Linked DNA regions of Nothobranchius furzeri. The protein of the gene in region 3 interacts with the protein of the main gene of each other region in a pairwise test. Links are inferred from orthologs where the notes say so. Each region holds a gene or a part of one and is shown on either strand. Other genes may lie near its edges. The genes, in order: microtubule-associated proteins 1A/1B light chain 3A, mob1a and kxd1.

Region 1 (3,753 bases), on a different chromosome or scaffold from region 3:
AGGCCTTTCCTAGAGCTAGCTTGTAGCTCTGGTGCTCAATAATTATTCATAATTTCAAGCATTTAATTACAGTCAAAGAGTTATAAAATAACTCACCCCCTCAGAGTTGTCATAAATGTTAGAAAGATCAGTCAAACCTAGAATGGCTTTTTGAACCAGGCTGTAAATGTGTTTATTTATGCTGTGAAACTGGCTTTTTTAACATGGGAGTCAAAGGGAACTTGCTCTGTTTTGGTACTAGCCCCTAGCGGATGAGGGTGGAACTGTAATTTTTGGTACTTCCATGCTGGAGCAAAGCCAGCGGCCTTGATCCCTTGGTACCGACGCACACTCAGAAGCATAAGCTCGGCTTAAATAGCGCCAGATACATGGCTATAACCAAGCAGCTGGCGGTCTCTGTTTTAGTTCAGATAGTCCTCGTGGGCATGAATGTTCCGTCTAAGAGAAGAGCAAAACACTTTGCTTCCCTTCTCAGTTATCCAGCATCAATTAACAGAGGCTGCCTGTGAGGTTCACTTGAATTAAAGAGAACTGAATCCACCTGAGCATAGTCGGTGGAACCGACAGATCCTTGAGTGCACAGATGCACTTTGTTAGGCAGGCATTTATCAGGAAGGCATCGATGTTCTAAACTCGCTTTGTGGACTACCCCCCAGGTTCGTGCGTGTGCAGCTTACAGGGATCTTGTTTGGGTGCTGCTCTCGGATCTGCTGGACCTCTTTGCATCGATCAGCTGTCGACAAAACAAATAGACAGCATGATGAGATTAGGAAGTTTACAGCAACAAGAGAAGATGTGTTTTGGATTGGTGGCCATATTGCAGCCATTTTGGATGGTAGGCTTTCGACTCCGTGTGTCACTGCAGATGGCTGCTTATGCTGATCCAGGATCCTCTGGAGGTTTCTTCCTGTGAAGTCTCTGACACAAGTCAGTGACTCGATGCAACCTGCTGGGTTACTTATATAGGAAACTTTTTACTGATTGCATTAATGAACTGAACTATTGGAATGTTTACTTTGAGAAGCGCCTTAAGAGGACTTGTCGGGATTTGGCGCTTTATAAATAAACGGAATTATAGATAGGGTGAGAAGCTCAGTCATCCGGGAGGAGCTCGGACTAGACCCGCCTCTCCTCCACATCGAGAGGAGCCGGTTGAAGTGGCCCGGGCTTCTAGTTGGGGTGCCTCCTGGACGCCTCCCTGGTGAGGTTATCCAGGCACATCCAACTGGGAGAAGACCTAAAGGAAGACCCAGGACACACTGAGGGGACTATGTTTCTCAGCTGGCCAGGGAACGCCTTGGGATTCCCCGGAGAAGCTGGCCCAAGTGGCTGGGGAGAGGGAAGTCTGGGCTCCCTGCTTAGGCTGCTGCCCCCCATGACCAGATTCCAGATAAACGGAAGAGGATGGATGAAACTCATTTCTAAATGAAACCATCATAACCACGTTCTGGACCTTAGCATGGGTGTCAAACTCTGGTCCTCAAGGCCCACTATCCCACATGTTTTAGTGTTTTCCCAGTTTCAACACACCTGATTTCAAGCTTGGGCCTCCCTGCTTAGACTACTGCCTCGCGACCTGATCCCGCGATATATTTGCATCAACCAAAATAATCGTGGTTATCATTTTCGCCATTGGCCGGATGGGTCTCTTCCTGATGACATCATCCTGTGGTTCCAGTCAGAGATGTTAGGGTGTTCCAGGTGAAACTCCAGTTTTAGAGCTTTCTATCAACCCGTTCCAGGTGTTCATCTACATAGTTCTCACCTTGCTTTGATATTCATGTTTCTGACACTGACAGCTGGTCCGTTCAGGTGAGCGGGTCACTGCCAGACTCCTCCCCTCCTGTCAGGTGACCGATTTAATCAGAGAATACGTGTAGGGGTCATGTTTCAGCACAACTTGTTGTTTTGGCCTCGCGGTGGGTCACGGAGCTGATCCGGTTGTGTAAAGGCTGCGGCGTCACATTGACCCCGTTTACCGTGAAGCTACAGACCGACCATCAACACATGTAAACACGTTAAATCCGGTGTGAACCTACGCATTGAAACGCACTAACGCTAGCTGTAGACAGCACCGTCTTACCGAACGTTCTCCGCTGCTTGAACGGTCGGTCCGACGGCATCCCGGCAGCGGCTTCAGGCGAAAGAAGGTGATGAAAACGGCCCTGGGAGGGTTTCAGATGGCTCGGTCTGAAGCTCCGCAGCAGCTCCGTACAAACAAAGCCAGTAATCTGACGCGCTGACGTCATCCGCTGCCTTATGGAGGTGAGTGAGGCAAGCCAAGTTGTCATTTAATATTCAGAAAAGTTATTCAGTTCCTGTCAGTAAAATTGAGGCCGTCTCTGGATCAGATCTCTGATTTTTATCTGATTTGGTGCTAAATACTGATAAGGTCATGGTAGTGGGGGATTTTAACATTCATGTGGACATTGAAAATGATAGCCTCAGTGTAGCCTTTAGTAATATACTGGTTTTACCCAAAGAATGCATAGCTCCACCCACTCCTGGCATCATACATTAAACCTTGTGCTGATTTATGGCATAGAGTGTGAGGAAAATAACGATATTTCCACATAATCCAGTCCTCTCGGACCACTTTTTGATCACCTTTGAGTTTTTTTATAACTGAGTTCTAGAGACATGAAAGTAAATTTCACTATAGTCTGTCTTTATCTGACAAGGCTGTTGCATCTTTTAAATCAATTATTCCATCTTTACTGTCCTCAGCATCTCAGAGGACTGTAGCAGAGGGCAATATTTTCATTTCTAGCCCCTCACAAATTGATGATTTAGTTCATAATGTTACTTCTTTACGTGTGGCATTAGATGATGTTGCCCCTTTAAAAAAGGTAATTAAGCACAGGAAGTTGGCTCCCTGGTTTAATTCTGATTTACAAACTTTAAAACAAAACTCTAGAAAATTGGAAAGAACATGGCGCTCTACAATTCAATTCAAGTTTATTTATAAAGCATCAAATCAGGACCAGAGTCGTCTCAAGGACCTTCACACAGTAAACATTCCAATACAGGTCAGGTCATTAAGCCAATCAGTAAAAAGTTTCCTATTTAAGGAACCCAGCAGGTTGCATCGAGTCACCTCATACTAAGAATGCAGCGACAGTGCAGAGAAAAACTCCCTTTTAACAGGAATTTTGTGTTTCTTAGTAAACATTCTATTTGGTGAGATAAACTTTATTGTATTTATCCTAGTGAATCTATAATTAATCTGGTAAACTAGGAGTAGCACATTCAATGTCAAAGAGAGTAAAATGTTATTGTCAGGAGAGGGAGAAGTGGTTAGCAGCAGTGTGCTAGCCAATGGCCCCCTCCATGAGGCCACTACAGCTCAGCAGAACATCATTGTAGCTTCTTCTGGGGAGGAAAACACTTAAGAGTAAAAATAAAGTTAACAGCTGAAATAGCAGGAAATAATGCAGTTAAAGAGCAGATTGTAGAAGAAAGTAGTAGAGTGTGGAAAGTGGTCAGTATGTCCTCCAGCATTCTAAGCCTATAGCAGCATATCTACAGAGATAACTCTGGATAACCTAGCCTAGTCTTAAAAGTAGAGACGGTGTCTGCCTCACGGACTAAAGCTGGGAGCTGGTTCCACAAGAGAGGAGCCTGATAGCTAAAATATCTGCCTCCCATCCTATTTTTAGATATTCTGGGAACCACCAGTAAACCTGCACTCTGAGAGCAAAGTACTCGGTTAGGAACGTATGGAACAATCAGATCACTAATGTATGATGGAGC
Region 2 (3,753 bases), on a different chromosome or scaffold from region 3:
GTTGGTCTCTCTCCGAGAATAATTATAAATTTAACAATGATTACTGCCTGATGACATTTTCCCAAATCTGCAAAGCTTACTGGAAGGACACAAACTGAGGACAATATTTTCCTGATATAGGGTTTATTACTCAAGTAAGGGTAAAAAAGTATCTGATTAGAAGGCTACTTGAGTACTGAGCATCACCTGATCTAATATTTTTAAAATGATGACATCAAACAGACAAAAATAAGAAGTTATGGGCAAATATTGGTATTTTAAAGACTAAAGGGGAAAAATGTAAACAACTAAACAACATAATTACAAAATAACACATTTTAGGCAAAAGTGAGACACAAAGTGAGGACAATATTTTCCTGATAGACAGGATTTATTTAGAAAATGTAACACGTTTAAAAAAAATACCGCGATAATACCGAAAACCGTGATAATTTTGGTCACAATAACCGTGAGGTTAAATTTTCACACCATGACAACCCTAGTTTGTATGTACTTTGTACTCTTCATACACCACAAAGTGTTGCAAACACTAAGCCATTTTTACAAAGATCATCAAAGATTCGTCTTAACATTGGCCTCTAGACAGTTTTAAATGCTTGTTTGCATAATAAGTGCATAGGGCTTTTTGTATTTGTTCACTCACTGTTGACAGCAATCCATTCATTGAGATCCTCGCCCTCTGGGAGCATGACAGCCTGTCTCAGGTTCCCACTGCCCAGCGTTGCTTCAGCATGTTTCAGTAGCTCATACTGGTGGGAGCCCTCTGGGATATTTTTCTTCGGCTTGAAGGTCTTAGATGAGCGACTGCCACTGAAGAGAGAACACAAAGATAAGTAAATAAATAAATGTAAACAACGGAAGACTGTGTTATGCTCTATGGAAAGCTGCTTAAAGGGCAAGTCACCCCCTACACGTCTTACTCCACTCCCACTTCCTGTTTGAAAAATGCAACAAATGCCGTTACCTAGCAGACTGAGAGGATGGAGCCACTAACAAATACACTAACACAGGTGCCAACAACAACATTGTGACATCGTAATGTACCAGCTTACATCATAGAATACCTCTTAGCCAATAGTGATGGCAGATTTAAATTCAAATGCAGTGTACATTTTTTACCTGACGATTGTGCAACACTGACCGTTTTGGAAGGATATTTTAACTAAGGTGCACTAAAGTGCCAAATTATTGACTGCATGTGTCTACAGCACAATTAGACACTCATTTATATAGTTTATTAGAAGAAAAAAGTCTCAGCCTTTTCCTGCCTGCGTATTTGTCTTGATGAATAATACGACTTGATAGTTAATAAATGTATCGTTACGGCACTTATTAATGTATATGCGTCATTCAATTGTTTTAAAGAGAAATTTTTCAATCCAATTATCAAAGCTGTCAACAGATTATAATGAACCTTCAATCGCATGTTAACACTCTAAAATAGAAACGATGCAAAACTGATGGACTGAGTCAACTAAAAAAAACATCTATTTTCTAGGTTTCGTCTGTGTTTTGCCTTTTTACAGCATTTTTGCTTCATTTGGTTAATTTGTTCTACTTGATTTGGTGTGGCAGATCATATTTAAATCAAACGTGCAATTAGCTAGCTGCTTTCACACATTCGTTAAACTAACATAAAACTGTGACTTTTGGTTTTCAGAGGAACTAAAGCATGTCTGTAATATGTGGTAACCTCGTTGTTGCAAGTGACAGGAAATGTGACCGTGTCTAACGGCGTGACTGTAAACACAAGACAGAGATTAACTTCTTCAGCATTTGGAGATCTCCAAAAGATTAAGACACTATAGCTGAGCACCAGTTTTAACTTAATGTTAGCGTAAATTATTATGCTAATCAAGTTAGCGTAACTATTTTTTCTCCAAGTTATTTCTGCCAAAAAGTGGTTATAAATAAACGTAGGTGAAAATCGAAAAACGTCGACAAATGATATTACATATAAGGGGAAACGATTTACATTTGACCCCGTAGTTTTGACATTCGATTAGCTGTCTGTTTTTTGTTAGTGTCTCGGTTGAACTTCCCTTCTGTCGGCGAAGTACGAAGAAGCGCAGCTAACATTAACCACAAGCTCTCCGACTGAAAGTCAGGAAGCACTTTTTCACACTTTACTCACAACAAGAAGCTCATCTTGACGAAGACGCTGTTGGGGAATCTCGGCTGGAACTCCTGGTCCTAGTTTAGAAGGCAGGAATTTTGTTTTAGAAACGTATTTTGGGGATAAGCACTGCCACCTAAATAGCGTTGACGGCTACTTTGGCTGAACTGAAACTGCACCCACACAGTGACTCTTCCTCTGTTGGCTAATTGCAGCAGTTCATCGGGTAGTCTAGCGCCCCTCTCAGGTAGAGAATAGGTATGACACTCATAAACTTTTTTTGTGCAGGAGGAATTCATTTTTATTAAAATTGTTTTATACAAAAGTATGAAAATACAGTGACATGTTTTGTTTTACAGTCTTTTTAGGAAAATTTGCATTCCTTATTTTGAGTTTACGCTTGTTAAGTCATACTGTTGTTTATTTATCCTCATATTTTACTCACTGGGGAATACAAAATTGTCTGCAAGTTGACAGAGACAGAAGGAATTTGGAGGTTCAGAGTAAAGTCTGTAGTACTAAGTCTCAGGGCCTCTTGTTTTCAAGCATTTTATGTTGATGATCACAAGAATGGACTACAATGACCATTCACCATTTTAACCAGCGTAAAATATAAAATTTAATTGACTCCACATGCAGCAACATTCAGTGTGAGCAAAAGTACTAATTGCATTAACTAACATAAATGTATAAAAAAATATATAAAAAAAACATGGCTTTTGGAAAAATGCAGCTGTAGCTTCAAACCTCAATGAAATACTGAAGGCTTAGAAGACTCCAGTATCTCCTAGGCCAACTGCTCCATGAAAGCTTTGTGGGTGAGTAGCTTTGAATGAGTGTGGTCCTGTCTCAATTTGTGTAGCCCCTTGTGGAGAAGGTAACTGTTTGCTGCTGTTACATCAACAAAGTGATAGAAGAAAGCCTTGTACCATTTGCTTGTTTTGTACTGCAATCTGTAAGAAGAAATCAGTGCATCCGACAAACCCACCCCACCTACATTCTTGTTGTAATCAACCACGCAGTTAGGAACAGGGATGGATTCATTTTCCCACACACCACCCTTTTTTATTTGTCTCTTTATTGTCTGCCCACTGAAAGCCTGATTGACAGTGGGGCAAATGTTAACTACCTTTGTGTCCATCCACTTGACAAACAGAAGTTTGTCTCTTCTTAACCATCAGATGTTCCCCCGCTCAGCCGTTTTCTGCAGGTCGATCGTTGGCACTCTTCTGAGGGAATCCGGTTGTACCTTTCTTGACAGTTCCACAACAACCAATCTTCTTTGCAGGCAAATCAGTGAAAAGAGTGGGGCTGGTGTAAAAATGGTCAGAGTACAGGATGTAGCCACTGCCCAAAAATCAAAAAGTCAGAAGACCCATCACATTGGAGTAGCTCAAATCATGGTCTTTGGAGGAATTAGCTTGGCCAGTGTACACAAAAAAATTCCAGGTGTAGCCCGTTGATGAATCTGCCAACACAAATAGTTTGTGTTGGCAAGTGGCGACTAACCGTTCATTTACCGACAAATTTTGATATGGTTGGAAATTAGATTTGCAGGCAGTCACTATTTCTGTGTAAAGTCAAGTGGTTTTATTTTGAAGAATTTGTCATACTCAGCAGTGTTCTTTTTCTTTTCA
Region 3 (3,753 bases):
TTTGAAGCCGTTTCGAGTGACTAAAATCTTTTTTGCAAATTGTTCACTCTATTCTTCATGTACAGAGTCAGGACCCTCATCTTGCAGAACTCCTGTCTCTAAGCCATCAGACGTTGGTGTGTCGGTAGGCTCCTGAGAGAGATCTTCTGAGCATCGGCTGACGGCGGGTGAAACCACATCGGGGCTTGTGTCACAGGAATCGGTGCTTTGCTCCGAGGTGGCCGCTGTGATTGTCGTGGCAAAACTTGGAGGTACTGGGTCAAATTCTTCATCATTATCATCATCATCCAAAATAGGTGACTCATGGACATCTGTCAAGTAAAAACCCGGATTTATTGAAATGGCTGTTGGAGATTTAGAAGAACAATGTTTTCTAAAAACTTTTCAACACAAACAAACTCCCTGTACCACCCAGAACTGCGCTGCTCTGTGTGGCTGCATGTTGGAGTAGCTCTGTTGACTATATGTAAGTTTTGCCTTTTCTTGGGCATTTTTTCTTCTAGTTTCTCAAGAAAAACTGTATTTTTTTTGGACACTTTACTTTTCTGTTTCTGGTGCTGTGAAGCTTGGAGGATTTTTACAGCTATTTTTTAGCTTTTTTCACTTTTTGAGCTTTGTTATGATGTGTAACCATGGCAACACACTGTTTACATTCGGGAGCAGCTGATTAACATTGGAAAGGCTGAAATAATACCTCAACTGAAGCCACAAATCCCAAATGAGCTAAAACGCAAGAAGCGTGGGTGCAGAGCGGGAGCAAAATGGAGACAGAGAAAGAGGAAATTCAAACCATCTCCTCCATCAATCATAATGGGCAATGTGAGATCACTGGCCAACACGATGGAGGAACTCCAAGCCCTTTCAAGGACTCAGCCAGAGTTTCGGCAGTTTCAGAGCCACTGGAGGAGATAATGCAAAGAAGGAATCTCCAGGAATCTCCAGAGAATCAAGAAAATGATGGACAACCCTGAGCATTCTCTTCACAAGACTGTCCGACAACAGAAGAGTGTCTTCAGTCAGAGGCTTCTTCAGTTTCGCTGCAACACTGACCGCTACTGGAGATCCTTCCTGCCAACAGCCATTGTAATATACAATAACTCTTTGATGACTTGATTATTATTATTATTCTGAGCTACTACAGCAATCAATTTCCCTCTGTGATTATGTTTATATTTATGTATTTAGCAGACGCTTTTGTCCAAAGCGACTTACAAGTGATAATCGGCATGTTGCCCTTGAGGCTAACAACAACAATAACAACAACTTGACATCAATCATGAAGAGGAAGGAACAAAGGAGTGGACAGTAGAGAGGGGGGACGGGTGCAGGGAAGGTGCTAGTTAAGAAGATGCTCTCTGAAGAGCAGGGTCTTCAGGAGTTTCTTGAAAATTGAAAAGCAAGCCCCTATTCTGGTAGTGCTTGGACAGCAGCTTCCTTTTCAATTTTCAAGAAACTCCTGAAGACCCCGCTCTTCAGAGAGCATCTTCTTAACTAGCACCTTCCCTGCACCCATCCCCCCTCTCTACCATGATGATTAATAAAGTAGTTGTGAATTGAATAGAAATCAAATTAGTTTCAATGTTTGTAACAATACTGTTTTATTGTATTTAGAAATAAATAAATCTACTACTTGATGCCAGAAAAACACTTTTAAAAGGCCATAAAAGAAGTAAATAAAAACAGAAATGTTAATAATTTATGCAGGTAACACTTACTGATTTCATTGATTGAAATCAACAGACTAATGAACTCATTACAAGTTGAGAATTGTTTTGGATAATAAGCAAATGTTAACTTACTGCTGAAAGCATCAGGGTATTGTTTAGAAATCTTCCCTTTTAATGTCCTGGAGGAAACAAAAGGAGATCAGTTATTAGAGGTTGGGCTGTGCGTCCCTGTTTGTGCAGGCAGAGTAATGACTAACCTGATTCTTCTGAAGATGCTATCCAGATCCTTCTTCATCTCAACCAGGGTGCGGGTGTGGTGCAGGAAGCGCTCGTTCATCTGCTGCAGTCGCACGTTTGACAGTCCATTAAAGTTGATCAGCATTTCATTGGTTTTCTCAAAGCGATCGAGCCTGATGAAACAAAGATTAGGCAGAAAATAACTATCATAATAGAAAAAAGGCAGAAACGTTACAACTGACATAAAAAAACAACTCAAATTTTTACACACAGTGTAATCAGGCCTCACAGACAAGAACAGCCTGATACTCACATGTGTCTTTGAGCTTGGATGATGGCATTCACATCTTCAGAGTTAACCATGCTCAGGATCCTGTTACAGAACACACTGGAGGCTGTGGGCTCCACCATGACGACGAAAAACCTGCATTTTCATAAACGAAACAACACGCACCAAATCAGGCATGGCAATACTTAAAGTTCTCTACAAATATTACGAGAGAAAAATGTTGCAAATCCACTAATCCAAATAATCGGCTGTTTTATTCACATCCGAGCGGTTTTTCTGCGCTAAAGGTAATACTACGTGAAAAATAAAGGAATAATATTATCATTTACCTCAACAGGTGTTGTTATCAACCTTGGTTTTCAACAGAACACTACATTTGACAGGCAAATTAAACAAAAACAAAACACTTCCGTGTATTTCTGTTTCTTCTGTTTACATGACTGTTTCTGGTTCATTTTCTTCTTCGGCGGGTATCTTTCAACTTTTGCGACTCATTGCCGCCACCTGCTGTATAATGGTGCACACAACTGGTCATTTTCTGGCATTTTCTAGCTCTTTCTGGGGGTGTTCTTGACTTTTCTAACCCCATTGAACTTTCTGGACTCTGGCCTTTTTTTTTTTTAGTTATAAATCCATCCACCAACATATTACCGTGAATTCGTTAAACAATTCATTTGAAATTGAGAGATATATTCAGTTATTTAGTCATCAAGTCAAGATGAATCTGTACAGTTCTATTTAACTTTATAAATACCAATTTAACATTTCATAAAACATGCTGATTTCCTCTTTTTGCCACATTTAGCTTTAACATTAATGTCCATTCTGCTTCTATCTTTGTTTTTGTTTTGTGTTTTTCCAACAAATCCGTAATTTTCAATTAGAAAATTCTCAAAAACATAAAACTGCTGAGCTGAGTTATTGAAAAGCTGTGATTGAAAAACAGATTTTGGTTGGCCTTCTAAGATTGAAAACGCCCTATATCCATTTCATATTAAATTTGTCTTGGGTTTTAAAAATGTAAAAACAAAAACAAATTTAAAAACTAAAATATCTTTATCTTTTTCCGGAATTGCGCCACTGTGGCTGCATATTGGAGTAGCTCTGTTGACTATATGTACGTTTTGCCTTTTCTTGGGCATTTTTTCTTCTAGTTTCTCAAGAAAAACTGTATTTTTTTGGACACTTTACTTTTCTGTTTCTGGTGCTGTGAAGCTTGGAGGATTTTTACTGCTATTTTTTTTTTTAGCATTTTTCACTTTTTGAGCATTTGTTATGATGCGTAACCATGGCAACGAGCTGTTTACAATCAGGAGCAGCTGATTAACATGGGAAAGGCTGAAATAATACCTCAACTGAAGCCACAAATCCCAAATGAACTAAAACGCAAGAAGCGTGGGTGCAGAGCGTGAGCAAAACGGAGACAGAGAAAGAGGAAATTCAAACCATCTCTTCCATCGATCATAATGGCCATTGTTAGATCACTGGCCAACACGATGGAGGAACTCCAAGCCCTTTCAAGGACTCAGCCAGGACTCCGCTAGAGGAGATAAAGCAAAG

What was found.
Region 1: the proteins of kxd1 (region 3) and microtubule-associated proteins 1A/1B light chain 3A interact in binary tests that used the Homo sapiens proteins (3 or more experiments, as listed by UniProt). The two-hybrid records come from large-scale screens. The link is inferred for Nothobranchius furzeri from reciprocal best matches to the Homo sapiens genes KXD1 and MAP1LC3A.
Region 2: the proteins of kxd1 (region 3) and mob1a interact in binary tests that used the Homo sapiens proteins (3 or more experiments, as listed by UniProt). The two-hybrid records come from large-scale screens. The link is inferred for Nothobranchius furzeri from reciprocal best matches to the Homo sapiens genes KXD1 and MOB1A.

What each region holds. Positions count from the first base shown.
Region 1 is NC_091743.1:78,251,211-78,254,963, forward strand, and holds the start of microtubule-associated proteins 1A/1B light chain 3A, read right to left. Parts: upstream 2,253-3,753; 5' UTR 2,250-2,252; coding exon 2,084-2,249; intron 734-2,083; coding exon 678-733; intron 1-677. UniProt on the Homo sapiens protein: Ubiquitin-like modifier involved in formation of autophagosomal vacuoles (autophagosomes). While LC3s are involved in elongation of the phagophore membrane, the GABARAP/GATE-16 subfamily is essential for a later stage in autophagosome maturation.
Region 2 is NC_091757.1:46,534,528-46,538,280, forward strand, and holds the start of mob1a (MOB kinase activator 1A), read right to left. Parts: upstream 2,296-3,753; 5' UTR 2,149-2,295; coding exon 2,135-2,148; intron 811-2,134; coding exon 644-810; intron 1-643. UniProt on the Homo sapiens protein: Activator of LATS1/2 in the Hippo signaling pathway which plays a pivotal role in organ size control and tumor suppression by restricting proliferation and promoting apoptosis.
Region 3 is NC_091744.1:73,271,078-73,274,830, reverse strand, and holds the start of kxd1 (kxDL motif-containing protein 1), read right to left. Parts: upstream 2,671-3,753; 5' UTR 2,523-2,670; intron 2,329-2,522; 5' UTR 2,316-2,328; coding exon 2,218-2,315; intron 2,078-2,217; coding exon 1,925-2,077; intron 1,847-1,924; coding exon 1,800-1,846; intron 312-1,799; coding exon 49-311; 3' UTR 1-48.